Canis lupus familiaris: one gene and its partners. The protein of the gene in region 1 interacts with the protein of each later gene in a pairwise test. Links are inferred from orthologs where the notes say so. Each region holds a gene or a part of one and is shown on either strand. Other genes may lie near its edges.

What was found.
Region 2: the proteins of KRT40 (region 1) and ZBTB16 interact in binary tests that used the Homo sapiens proteins (3 or more experiments, as listed by UniProt). The two-hybrid records come from large-scale screens. The link is inferred for Canis lupus familiaris from reciprocal best matches to the Homo sapiens genes KRT40 and ZBTB16.
Region 3: the proteins of KRT40 (region 1) and WT1 interact in binary tests that used the Homo sapiens proteins (3 or more experiments, as listed by UniProt). The two-hybrid records come from large-scale screens. The link is inferred for Canis lupus familiaris from reciprocal best matches to the Homo sapiens genes KRT40 and WT1.

What each region holds. Positions count from the first base shown.
Region 1 is NC_049230.1:21,662,163-21,666,768, forward strand, and holds the end of KRT40 (keratin, type I cytoskeletal 40), read left to right. Parts: intron 1-617; exon of another isoform or gene 618-707; coding exon 708-869; intron 870-937; exon of another isoform or gene 938-948; coding exon 949-1,074; intron 1,075-1,225; exon of another isoform or gene 1,226-1,338; intron 1,339-2,405; coding exon 2,406-2,626; exon of another isoform or gene 2,627-2,744; intron 2,745-3,132; exon of another isoform or gene 3,133-3,172; coding exon 3,173-3,272; 3' UTR 3,273-3,751; downstream 3,752-4,606. UniProt on the Homo sapiens protein: May play a role in late hair differentiation.
Region 2 is NC_049226.1:19,123,076-19,127,598, forward strand, and holds part of ZBTB16 (zinc finger and BTB domain-containing protein 16), read right to left. Parts: intron 1,878-4,523; coding exon 1,710-1,877; intron 1-1,709. UniProt on the Homo sapiens protein: Acts as a transcriptional repressor. Transcriptional repression may be mediated through recruitment of histone deacetylases to target promoters. May play a role in myeloid maturation and in the development and/or maintenance of other differentiated tissues.
Region 3 is NC_049239.1:35,503,596-35,508,118, reverse strand, and holds part of WT1 (Wilms tumor protein), read right to left. Parts: intron 4,511-4,523; coding exon of another isoform or gene 4,508-4,510; coding exon 4,385-4,507; intron 3,922-4,384; coding exon 3,819-3,921; intron 2,891-3,818; exon of another isoform or gene 2,761-2,890; intron 1-2,760. UniProt on the Homo sapiens protein: Transcription factor that plays an important role in cellular development and cell survival. Recognizes and binds to the DNA sequence 5'-GCG(T/G)GGGCG-3'. Regulates the expression of numerous target genes, including EPO.

The sequences.
Region 1 (4,606 bases):
CTAAAGCTGGAACAAAATTACTCGAGGCACTAATGTCCAGCCTGATGACTCTGGCATATCTCTGGGTGTATATGTGAAATGGGCCCTGGCTAGTACCACTTGAAAGACCAAATTGTTCACCTGCTATTGCTTTCGTGAAGGAGGTAACTTTACAAATGGCTTTCCTTGGAGGCTTTATGCCACATAACTCTAATCCATAAGCTACAAAAATCAGGCTGATAAACACAGGGCATGAAGGCCATTTCAGAAAGGGGATAACATCTTATGCAATATTTGGACCAATATTTTAAAATATTCTACATCTATAAACTTTCTAAATCATAAAATACGAAGTATATGACTATCTCATGTTGATAAAGCTAAAAAGTGAAAAACTTAATGATGTAAAATGGTATATTTTCCCTTTGAGCATGTGTTGATGATAATAGCATTTATTGAGACCTTCCTATGTGCCAAGGACTTTCATAAGTGCTTTATATGAACATCAACTCATATCTCTCACAATAACTCTCTAGGAAAGGTAAAATTATTATACACCTTTTGTGGATGCAGAGACTGAATGATGAAAAGAGAGTCAACCTAAGCAATCTGAATCTAAATCCCACACTTTTACTCACTTCTCCAGAAATTGGATGCTCTTGGGATGTCAAGGTGAATTCTTCTTCCCCACCACTCTGTGACTTTCTTTACTCCATTTCCTCTTTCAGGAGGTTGACTTGCTTCGTGGACAGTTGGGTGACCGACTCAGTGTAGAGCTGGACACTGCCCCCACCATCGACCTCAACAGGGTCCTGGAAGAGATGCGTTGTCAGTATGAAACCGTGCTGGCCAACAACCGTAGAGACGTGGAAGAATGGTTTGCTGTTCAGGTCAGTACCCAGAGCAAGAAAATGACAAGCTTCCAGACTTCTGCCTTATTTGCATCCTCTAATCATACCTGGTTTACAGACAGAGGAGCTGAATCAGCAGCAGCTGTGCAGCGCAGAGCAGCTGCAAGACTGCCAGACAGAGATCCTGGAACTGAAACGCACAGCCAATGCTCTGGAAATTGAGCTCCAAGCACAGCAAAGCCTGGTATGTAAGGGAAAGACAGCTCTGTTTTTGTCACTGAAGAATTAAGCCCTGAGATGCTAGTCCCTCTTCCATGAACCCAAGGAGAGATCCACAGTTCATGTGGCAGAAAGTCTGAATTTCCAATATGCAAGGATTGTATTCTTTGACTTACCCAAATACTGCTGTTTACTGAGCTAGAAGCAGAAGTGATAGGTCAACAGTCTGTACTGTCCCAACAGGATTCCCTGACCTTCCCTCCTGGGCTTGAGCATGATCCTGCAGCACCTTCCAGAGACAGAAAAAGAACAGGAGGGCAGGAGCAGAATGAGAGTGGAACCTCTGAGCTGAAGGCACTGAAGCATTCCAGTGGGTTTTAATTGTGCTTTGATTTGGGCCAACTTCTCAAACTCAGCATCATATAAAAGAATAATATTCAAACTTTGCATTCTTCCACTACCCTAAGCTTTTCCAGGATCCACACCTCAACTGGACCCTTCACTCCACCCCATTTCACCCAGCAATGAAAATACTATGCACTGGGGAGCCTGGCTGGCTCAGTCAGAGGAGCATGTGACTCTTGATCTCAGGATCATGAGTTCAAGCCCCATGCTGGGCATAGAGGTTATTTTAAAAAAAAATTTTTTTAAAAAGGATACCATGCATTGAAGATCACATTAGCCAGTTCCAGTCAGACACCACTGTCTGTGCCACATTGGGGCCTATAGAGACTATCTGGGTGAATAATAGCTACATATTTATCTTGTGAGAGGCTTAAACGCCTCATAATAACTTGATGGGATAAATCCTTTTACTAAACCCATTATCAGATGAGGAAGACTGAGACTCAGATTAAGTAGCAGGGGTCATGCAGTTGTTTTTTTTTTTTTTTTTTTTTTTTTCATGCAGTTGTTAAGAGGCAAAAGTGGAAGCTGGATCCAGCTGGTTCAATCCCAGAGCCTCTTCTCTGAACCATTCTATATGGCTCTTTCCTGCCCCAAGTCCATACTCAACTTCTCCCCTCAAATGCTGTTGATCTTCCTTAATATATATTACAGGTTGTGATGGGCAAGTGGTGATAGTAATAACTAACCCTTGCACAGTTTTGAAATTTTTTCCAGGCACTGTTCACAGTGTTTTACACATATTAATTCATTCAATCCGCACAACCATCCTATGAAATAAGTACTTTGCATTGGTCATTTTTTATAAAATAAAACAGCCTCAGAGAAGCTAAGTAATTTTCCCAAAGTCACATAGATGCACTAGGGTAGATCAAGGATTTGAAAACCAGCACTCTGGCCCCAAGGACTATGCTACACAGCCCTTCTGAATATACTCTTTTTCTTCTGCAGACAGAGTCTCTGGAATGCACTGTGGCAGAGACGGAGGCCCAGTATAGCACCCAGCTGGCCCAGATGCAGTGCCTGATTGATAACGTGGAGAACCAGCTGGCTGAGATCCGCTGTGACCTGGAGCGGCAGAACCAGGAGTATGAGGTGCTGCTGGACACAAAGGCTCTGCTGGAGGGTGAGATCAACACATACCGAGGTCTCCTTGAGAGTGAAGACAGCAGGCAAGTTCCACACGATTATTCTCAAAATCCCCCAAGTCACAAAGAAGCTCATGCAAGAGAATCTTGCCTCCTCAAGGTCTGCCCAAGGTGAAACCTCCCTCATGTGTTAAATGATCTCCTTACAAGAGTAAAAAGACAAACAAAACAAAACAACAACAACAAAAAAAACAGCTGAGGCTAATCACATGACAGTAGAAGTATTCAAAAGTATTCCAAAGTTCTAAAGCAGAATAAGTATCACATACAAAATTTCATGCTGGGCGTCCCCCTTTGTTCCTGACTTCCACCAAAGAGAAATCAGGAACATGCATAAGATAACATTTGCAAAGTGAAATAAATACACAAAACTGTGTATTCAACTGGCACAGGGGCAGTGAGCATTCCTAGTGGCAATGCTGAATCTAGGCCTGAAATAGGCTTAGGTCAAATGCTACTCTGCAAAGAGTGTTCAGAACATCATTTGCAGGGCAAATTTTGGCACGATCTTTTCTGAGTTGAAATTTTACCTGGATTTCCCTTGTTAAGCTTACTTCAAAATTTCCACAGGCTTCCTTGTAACCCGTGTTCTACAATAAGCACATCAAGCAACACTTGTGAGGCATGCTCAGCGTATCTGATTTGCACGGTCGAAAACTACTGTGCATGAATGTTCAACCCTCGGCGCAGTGGATAGAGGAGTCAAAGCCAGCAGTGTCCTGGAAAGGAGATGGGACTTCAATCAGATGCATCCAAATCTAAAAGTCAAGAAGGGGTTTCTACCCTAAATTTGTCCTCTAAACATCCCCATTATATTTCTGCTTTGTCATTTCCTCTCCTGCCTGCTTATTAGTGATATTCTAGGAGTCTATAAAGCTTTCTTGCTAATCTCCAAATAAAATATGTTTCATTCCTTTAGCATGGTAAATATAGCTTTGTGGCTTATAACTGTGGATATAAGAACCATGTGATGCCTAAACCCATGTCGATAGTTTGATTTTGCACAAACCGAGGCTGAAAATAGTTTTTAACTCCTCAAATACAAAAGTTTAACTAATCCATGCAAAATGTCATACATCTTGGAAGACAGTTGTATGTATCTTTCTAAGAGGAAATTTAAGAATAAATGTCTTATTTGTAATTATAAAAGTACAGGATTCCATTTTTTTCTCAATTTGGCACATGAAAGGGGAAAAAATTAGTTACAATTCCACCCCCAAACACCCGTTATCAGTATTTTGGGAGCTTCCAGCTTTCTTTCATATAATAGGTTTTTCCACATAATGGAAATCATATTTACATATGCACATAGTTGAGTAAACTACTTTTTTCACTATGTCATGTAAGCATTTTCAATCCAAATAAACCTATAAGATTGTCCTGTGACTGTTATTTTAGTGGCTACATAAAATACCATAAGGTTATTGGCCTGTTATTGGACATTTGGGGTATAAGAATAATTATTCATACACATTTAAAAAGCAAAGTGGAGAACTCCACCTCCAAAAAAATGAAATGGATGTACATTTCCTCATTCCTCTTCCTAAGTCTGGCTGAAAACCAGGGAAATTACATATAAAAGAAATATAAGCAGATTCTGAAAGGTGGAAGAAGCCAAACCAACTAGAATCATATTCAAGGAACAGCAAGCAAGTGAGTTCCTTGGGTTTTCTTTTGGCCTCATATATCCCATGTTGGGAGCTGAAGAAACCAACAACCCATAAATACCAGCAGGGGCAGACAGAAAAACAAAATCTCCAAGAGGAGAGTCAAGGGACATGAAGAGAGGTAAGGTTTCTATACTTCATCTGCAGTGATAAGATGTCAACACAAATAAGCATGATAAGGTTTATGTATATATACAAAATATAATATATATAATGTAATATATAATATATATAATGTAATACCTTGAGCATACTTAAGAAACTATGCAAAGAAATACACTTAAAACTTTGATTTATCTATAACTCATAGAATGAGTTTGGAAGTTTTCTTTCCCTT
Region 2 (4,523 bases), on another chromosome or scaffold:
CTCAGCGGCTCCAGTATTGCTCAGCATCCCCTTAGCCCTGCCTTATTCTTCTGAACCCAAAGGCCCAGAATATTCCCTTCCAAAGAAAGGATATGGAATCTAGAAATGGGGCAGTGGGGTCCCGAAAGCCCTTAGGGACGGCTCTTCAGCACAGCTCCTTTCAGGGGAACAAGGCGTAGAGTCCTTTCAGGCTATAGCTGGTGGGGAGGATGGGGGTGAACGTGAGGGAACCCCATCCTCCAAACATGCTCCATCCGGGATGCCTATTCCCCTAAGGTTCCCAGAGCCACCCCTGGACCCTGAGCCTTCCCAGGGGGGCCAGGATGGGGAAGGGACACATAGCCTGGGAATGCCTGGCCACACCCTAGCTGCTACCCACCCTACCTCCTGCCAGTTAGAGTCCCCTGGAGCTGAGCAGAGGGTGTGAGGGAACCTTGTTTCGATACAGTAATTAACTGGCCAGCCATCTCGCTATCGATACTCCTCTGTGCAGAGGCCCCAGCAAATAATGAAGTAATGAACAGCCAAAGTGATCTAACTATCGACCCGCTATTTACAATAGTCACCACCGATGCATTTAATGATCCGCTCACCAGGTCACATCCCCAGCAGGGGGCTAAGGAAGCCCTGGGGCTCTGGGAAATGCTCGGAGTGACTCTGGCTGTCAGCAACAAGCACCTGAGGCTCTCCTCTGGCCCAGGCCGGGGGCAAGAAAGCAGAGCTCCATAACGCAGCATCCTCTCCCTCTCCTTACTGCTTCCCTGTTCTCCCCGCGGCTTGTGGACGCATCCTCGCCCCTCGGCCAGCAGGACCTGTCTGAGGTCACCTCTCCCCCCATCCTCTGTCCCCAGGTCAGGACAGCTGTTTCACATGATCAGAGGAGGCTTCCTACTTTGCTAGATTCCACTACCTTCCACTACCTCCCACTACCTCATAGGAAGTCCTTCTGAATATCCACCTCCCCCCCCACCCCAAAGCCGCAACCAGCAGGGTGCTGCTGGTAAATGTTTAACAACTAGCTCTCCAAAAAGGCTCAATTTTGTAGCATTTGCCTGTGTCTGAGGTGATGTGGCTGTACTTGGGAGTCAGGGAGAGACGTGCAGGTGGACTTCCATGAGCTGGTGCAGGCCAGCTCCAGCATCCGCCACCCCCCAGTTTGGCAATTCTGGCCACCACGGCCACTTCCCCTTGCTCTGTCCTCAGACCCCACACCCCCATCCTATTTCTTTTACATAAAAAAGAATGTGAAGGCCCTCTGAAATGGTAAACATCATACAGGTAGAGGGGTCTGTGAATATATCTGTCTGCGATCTGACTCCCAGCATCACAGCCCTCATCCTAACCTAACTCAGTGCTCCCCTAGCCCCCAGGAACAAGAAGCCCTGCCCAGCGTTTGCTTTTAGTCTTCAGGCCAACCTGACCCCAATTCAGGGCTCACAGATCGAAGTCATCTATGCACTATTGGTACGGCTGCCTGGAAGGTGGGTCTGGGCTCCTGGAAAGTGTGCTGTGATCCACTAGCAACGTGTGCCTCGGCCTTGCAGGGGGCAGTGGCGCCTGAGCCGTGCTAACCTTTCCCAGAACACGCTCCACTCTCCGTCTCAGCCTGGGACCATGCCCACCCAGGCTGCTCTGGAGAACCACCTGCCCCCTGCCACTTATACCCAGGTCCCCGCGCAAGCTGGGGTGCCCTCACCAGTCCTCCGTACCTGTGTGCACCCTATAGTGTGTCTCCAGCTGGTGCTTGAGGCTGAACTTCTTGCCACAACCATTGCACTCGTAGGGTTTCTCGCCCGTGTGTATGCGTTTATGACTCTTGAGTGTGCTCTCATCCCGGAAGCAGCTGCCACAGAACTCACACTCATACGGGTGGTCGCCTGTGGGGACAAAAGGCTGGATCAGAGCCTCGTCTCCCCTACCCCCATCCCCTCTTCAAGAGGCGGCAGGGCACATTTAATGCACCGAGAAGATGAGACTGCCTATCTTCACCACCATTCTTCAAAAACATATAAGGACCCGTGGCCTCCTCTGGGCCCCAGTGTGAACCAGGGAGCTTGTATGCACACACATGTCCATACTTTACAGGGCCCTAGAGTTCATCTGTGGGTCAAGGGCCAATCCCAGGAAGAGAAAGCCCATTTGTTTCAGGGATGAACAGTTGACCCCAGAAAGCAGACCCCCACAAGGGGAGGGCAGACCCGTGGGCTTTGACACCTTGCCCCCCAACTTCTCCTGCCACCCTCTTCCTTTCCCATAGGTAGCCTAACTGCCTCTCCTGCCCTCAAAAAAAAAAACCCTCCAATTTGGGGAACTAGAACACACTGTCCCCCAAATGCCTTGTGCTACCTCCTCGCTCCACAGTTACAACAACTATCCCCTCTGCTTGATTTCCTCTTTCCTTGCTTCAATGAACTCCTACTCATCCTTCAAGACCCAGTTCACACATTACCGTGGTTTGGAAGTTTCCCTTCAACCTCTCCCACCAAGATAAACTGAGTCGCTTTCTTCTATCCTAAGAGAGAAGAAATACCTAGCATTGCGTTATTTTAGCAGCAGGATCATTTTTACGGGAATTTTTAATTGGAATGGTCTAACCTGCTGAAGGCTCACCACCATGCTGGGAGCCTTACACACATCTTATCATGTAATCGCTGCAACCACCTGACAAGAAACACACAATTCTCACCATATAGACGAGAAGAATGAGATGCTTAGCTGATCTCTAAGGTCAAATAGCTCATAAGCTGCTGAGTCAGGATACAGATCTGGTTTTGGAGTCTGAACGCTTGATAACTTATCAGATGGCTAAGTTGCACACAGCCCTGTCTCTCCTGCCACGCACACTGTACCCTGAGGATGGAAGCACCTTGAGGGTCAGAAGGGAGACTTGTCGATCCTTGTTGCCTGGGTACGTAGCACACGGACGACCCAGGGCAGATGCTCAGGCCTGGAAGCGGTGCCGTCGGCCTCCCTTCTGTGTGTGGCACCCATTAGCCCCCTGGAGGGTGAGAGGGTGGGGTGCTGGGATCCACCATCTTTTGCTTTGTACCCAAAGTGGAGGCTTTGGGGGCTGAAAGGTGAGGCCTTCGGCGACTTATTTATTACAGGAGTGAAGGCACAGACAATAAAGATAGATGGATCACCCCAGACTTTGTTCATGAATATTTAAATATCGCTGATTCGTCTTGTCACTGTAATTACAATTTCTCTGGGCTGCATCTCCAACAACCACAGTTTATGGTAAAGAATGGCCCACTGTATTTCACTTGTCCCTCTGCAGATGTGCGGGGCTGCCAACCGTGTAATGTCCTCTGCATTTCATACATTTTCTTCGGCTGCTGAAGGCTTAAGTCATCCACAATGACCTACGTTTTTTCATTATCCCCATGTCAAACTGCACTCGTGCCTGGGCATAAATTGTCCTTCTCGTTATAGACTCGCGTGCCTATGCCTTCACTTCCTCTTTAAAATGATATTTTACTCTCTTGTCTCTCTCCTCCTCAGGCCGCTAACCAAACCTCCCCCCTCTCAAACGCAGGCCCCCGTCCCCACATAAATTCTCATCTCTCCTGATGGTGCTGAAGGGTTTTTAAGGCTCTGTGGGGAGTGGATGCTGGGGTCTGCTCACTGCGGGCTCGCTCTCTCTGCAAGAAGCTCTGAAGACACAGAGCGGTGGTTGGGAGCACTCCCAGGCGGAGTCAGACAGGAGAAGCTGAAAGAGCAGAACCACATCTCCACATGGGTTCTCGCCAAGCTACGGGGTACAGCCCTGGCTGGCTCAGAGGCATGGGCAGGTCTGGAGACAGACCAAATCCTGGGCTTCCCGGCACCTGCCAGGGCCATACAGACCACCTGGTCCCCAGCCTCCAGCCCCACCAAACCCAGGGGGAGTAGAGGTCTATGCAGACCCTGGTCCTCACTAGCTGTGTGTCTGTCTGAGTAAGGGCCAGTCTGCGCAGGCCTGTACTGCGTGCTACTCTCTCTGTGCAGACGTCTGCACACAGCTTCCCCGCCACCCCCGCCCCCCCGCGCCTCGTTGACATCCGACTCCCCCTCCTTGCCGAATTGGCAACGATAACGACTTTAATCAAGGATTCAGTATCCTCATTAAGATATAAATAAATAAATAAAGCAAGGGCCACGTGAGACTTCCAACGAGAGCCGGTAATTAAAACGTACATCGGCAGCCACCCGACTGAGGGGGGGGGGGGGGGGGGGGGGGAGGCGGGCCGGGGAGGGAGGGAGCCGCCGTCTGTGCCTTCCCCTCCAGAGGGGGGCCCTAAGAGTTTAAAAAACAAAGGGTTAAAGCAGAGAGGTTTGTTTGATCAGATTTTTATGAATTTAATTATGAAGTGGATCACATGTTAAATGAGTTTAAATAGGAAATCTCCAGAGTCAGCCCAGGGAAAGGAGTGAAAAGAACTTTGAAGGGAAAAAAAAAAAAGATGCGCACACACAAGCACACGCACACACATGAACACACACGCGTGCACACACTTTGAAGCATGGTGAGCACCTAGCCT
Region 3 (4,523 bases), on another chromosome or scaffold:
CCTGCCTCAACGAGTCATGCAGATTAAAGATGTCAATGCTTGTAAAGTACTTAGAATGGGGCCCCTAAAGAAGGAAGTCTGTATAAGGATTTGCTCTGCATATTTATCAGCAACAGTACTGATACAGACTGTGTAAGGGGAACATTCCAGGTGGAGGATGCCGAGTGGCCTGAAACTCCTCCACAATGCAGAGCACAGATGGGTTTTGAAGTCAGAGACACTGTGTGGATCAAGTCCTGGTCCTGATTCTGATTTGCTGTGTGACTTAAGGAAGTTATTTCGAGAGCCTGAACCTATTTCCTCTTCAGCAGAGTGGAGATTAGAGTACTTACCTCACAAAGTAATCAGAAGAATTAAAAGTGTGACCTGAATGAAGCACTTAGCTCAGTGCCCAGCAGCACATAGTCAGCATGCAATAAATCCTCATTGTTTACTCATGTTTCACTTAGCTATGATCACTGGGTCCCATAGGGGCTGAAATCTGGCTTCAGAAGCCTTAGTGACCTTTAGACAGAGCTTTACCCACCTTCAATATGCGGGATGGCAGAGAGGATGGGAAAAACCATCTCCTATCACTACCCATAAGTTGACTGGGGACATTTTCTATTCACTATCATTCACATCTGCACACAAATGTGCCCCGCTGTAACTCCTGAGATCTGTTACCTGAGAGAGAAGAATCCCTGTATAGTTCTCTCCTAATGAGGAGAGAATCTTGAGAATTCTCTGAAAACAAATTCGTATTGTGCACTGCTTGTTTAATATCAGCATATGTATCATCACCTTTATTTCATGCTGGGAAGACAAAATTCAAGATTAGAGAGACAGAAGCTCTTGGAGGGCAGCGGATAAAAGGCTGGGCAGGCTGCCCCAGGGGGTCAAGTGCACCAAGGCAAACGAAATACAAGCAAGCCTTTCCCAGGAGGTCCCAATTTTAGACAGAAGGGAATGGAGCCAAGGACCATGGAAGCACCACTGAGTATCTAAAACCCAAATGTTAAGCCATTAAGTGATTAAAATTTAGTCTTATTTCCCATGCTTTTTCAAACACTGCGTTCATAAAAGCATATAAATACCCTTTCAGATTTTTTTTTAGGAGCAAAAAGAAGAAAATGACATAACTCCAGTGATGTCGATGCATAGAATCGATTTTAAAACTTCCCGACACCTGTCCACTCATCGTTACTTCAGGGGAACTATCTGACCTTTGAAAAGTGATTAGAAACATTATGAATTTAGGGTGACTGGAACTTCAAAGACAGTACAAACTTCAAGGGAGCAAACTCTTTTCCTAGGGAGTCACAAATTCTTCTTCAGATGCTACTGCTTAGAAATGTTCTCTCACAGAAGAAAATGGTATTTTGTTGACATAAACATAAAAATGAGAAGCAAAAGAAGTTCCATTTATGTAGAAAGCAGAAAGGGATAAGCAAATATTTCCAAAAGATGAACTTGACAAAATTGCTTTATACAATCAGAAGCTGGATTAGAAAGGTGAGAATTTTACCTATAAAATGCAATCCAAGTGACTTTTCCTACTTCCATGGCAACCACAAATTCAGCCCTAAGTCAAAATCCACCACAGGGACTCAGTTTGGAGAATTGTTGTTGAAATAGCGACTGTGACCACTTTTTCCCCACCTCCTCTTTCTAGGCTGCTCAGCCCCTCTGTGAGAGAGGAGAGTAAAAAATGTTGTGTATCTGTGTCCCTTCTGAACTAGATTCCAATGCCTCCCAGGCCCCAACACCCAAGGAGGTAACCCAGCACATCTCAACAGCACCCATTCCAGCATGGAGGTATTCCTTGCTGCCTAGGTAAGGCTCCAATCAGGAACCAAGGAGGTAGGAGTTCCCATGGGGAACCATTCCAAATGCACCCCCAATGGCTACTAGGATAACCACAACGCCACTTTAGAAACGGGCAGAAGCAGTTCCTCAAGAATGATAGCAATGGCCCTGCCACCACAGTTTTACTGGGGTGGGAGTGGGAGTGGGAGTGTTGGCAACACAAAATGGTTCTGGGTTCTGCACCCCTTCCAGTGACCCCACCCACCACGAGGAAGCACAGAGACTATGGGCTTGGAAGCACAGGGCACTGGGACTGAAGTGTCAAAAAAAAGAACGAGATCTGCTAGTGAGAAAGAAAAGGAGGATGAGGAGGTGTGGTCACTCTACCTCTTTCTGTGCAACCCTTGCACATTTCTTTGCCCCTTCTGGCTGAAAGAAAAAAAAAAGAAAAGAAAAGAAAAGAAAAGAAAAGAAAAGAAAGAAAGAAAGAAAGAAAGAAAGAAAGAAAGAAAGAAAAAGAAAAGAAAGAAAAGGAAGGAAAGGAAAGGAAAGGAAAGGAAAGGAAAGGAAAGGAAAGGAAAGGAAAGGAAAGGAAAGGAAAGGAAAGGAAAAAAAAAAGAAAAGAAAAGAAGAAAGGCTAAAGGAAGGGGAAGGGAAGGGAAGGGGAGTGATCTCGAATCCAAGATCCAAGTAGATAGGCCAGAGTTTCCCATCAAAAGGAAAGGCTTCCGAAGCCCCTGGGCCTCAAGCATACAAAACCAGAAGGGGCTCGACCTTGTACTTCCCCCACAGGACAATCAGACCGGTGCCAGGCTCAATTTCATGCGCACCGGGGCCCTGGGATGCGCCGCCGCCGGCGGGGGAGCGCAGACTCCTTCCCCTCCTCCACCTGTGGGACTGCAGGTCCCCCAGGCGCGGCCACCCCCCACCCACCCAATCTCCCAGGGCAGGCGCTTTTCCTTCCTTCATTACCTCACTACCTCCTTCCCTTGACGTCAGCCCCGGGTCCTCGAGCGGAGGGGGGAGGATGGAGAGGAGTTTGGGGCAGTCGGTATCAGGCTCCCCGCAGCCCCGGGCTGGGGGGTCGGGGCGGAACGCGAGCTAACGCGCGCCCGACCCCCGCCTCCCGGGCCGAGGGCCGCCGCCTCCCTCCCCCGCCGCACCTTCCAGGCCCGCGCGCGCCGGCGTGTGCACCAGTTACTAGGCAACCCTATCGGAGGCGCGGGACGCCGGCCAAGTTCACCCAAAGTTGAAGAATAAATTTGGGGGAAGAGAAGGTGGAGGGTGGAGCGAGAGCCGGGAGGACGCACCAGGGACAGAAAAAAAAAAAAAAAAAAAAAAGCTTGGAAGAAAAAGAAGCCGGTCTCCCGCCTCCCCGGAGCGGGGAGGAGGGCGGGCGCGGGCGGGAGGGCGGGCGCGGGGTCCCCGGGGGCCACTGCCGCGTCCCGGCTGCAGTCGGCACACGGTCGGGGTCGGGTCCCCGCGCGGAGCCGGGCGCTGGCAACCACGCCCGCCGCGCGCCGCCGCCGCCACGGCCCCGGGACCGCAGGGCCGCGCCGAAGGCTGCGGTCCGGGTGTCCGCGCCCTCGCAGGACTCCGGGAGAAGGAGACGGCCGGCCGGAGTGGCAGTGGGCGCGGGGGCGGGGGGTGAGCAGTGGGAAGAACGGAGTGGGAGTGGACTCCGCGTTTCATCTCTGGTCCCGAGGAAGTTAAAGCCCTCCCATAAGGAGCCTTAAAAAAAAAAAAAAAAAAAACTTCTCGAAGCGCCACTCTTTTAGCTCAAATAGTAACCGCCGTCATTTATACTCAAAACAAGAACCACCAGCAGAGGAGGAAACCTACCTCTTCCGCAGCAGAGCCAGGAGGTCTGCTTAAATTTGCCTTAAGTAGCTAAAGGCGTCCTCTGCGTCCGGGATGGTGCACGCCCGAGGTCCAGGGTGCCCGCGTCGGACGTCACCGCTCCCGGGGTTCGCGCGCACCCCCCGCCCCGGGTCCCGGCGACCCAGACACCCGGCCGAGCGCCCTCCTACCTGCTGTAGGGCGTCCTCAGCAGCAGGGCCTGGCTGCCGGTGCAGCTGTCGGTAGGGGTGTGGCAGCCGTAGACGGGGGGCGGCACGGAGTACTGCTGCTCGCCTGCAGAGAACCCGAGAGCTGCGTGAGCGCGCCCCAAGGGATCGGGGTGCCAGTGCGGGTGGGGGTGCGAGGACGCGCGGGCAGGGTCTGGGACAGCCGGGCTCGGAGACTAAGCGGCGGGGTTGGGGGGCTGGATGCTGGGGCGTGCCGAGAGAGTGGGCGTCCGGATCGATTGATCATAGGGTGCTAATGAGCTTCTCACTTCACATTCCCTAGGCGGTCGCTTCCTAGTACACCGAAAAGACCATCGAGACCGACGCAGACTTGCTTGAGTAGAGCTGTCCCTAACATTCTTGGGGGTGGGGGCAAAACTCAGTCCTTTCTTTAAAACTGAGTGGGACTGGGCTGATGATTAAAACTCCCTTCTCTCGCAATTTGCTGTGGTTTGGCAATTCCGGGAATTGGGGGGGGGGGGATGGCGGAAGAAGGGCAGAAGGACCCCACATCGTTCCCGCCTGCTTACCCAGAGAGCCCTGCTGGCCCATGGGGTCCTCGTGCTTGAAAGAGTGGTTGGGGAACTGCGCGGCGTGGTGCGAGGGCGTGTGACCGTAGCTGGGCGTCCCGTCGAAGGTGACTGTGCTGTATCCTGCTAGGCGGGGGAG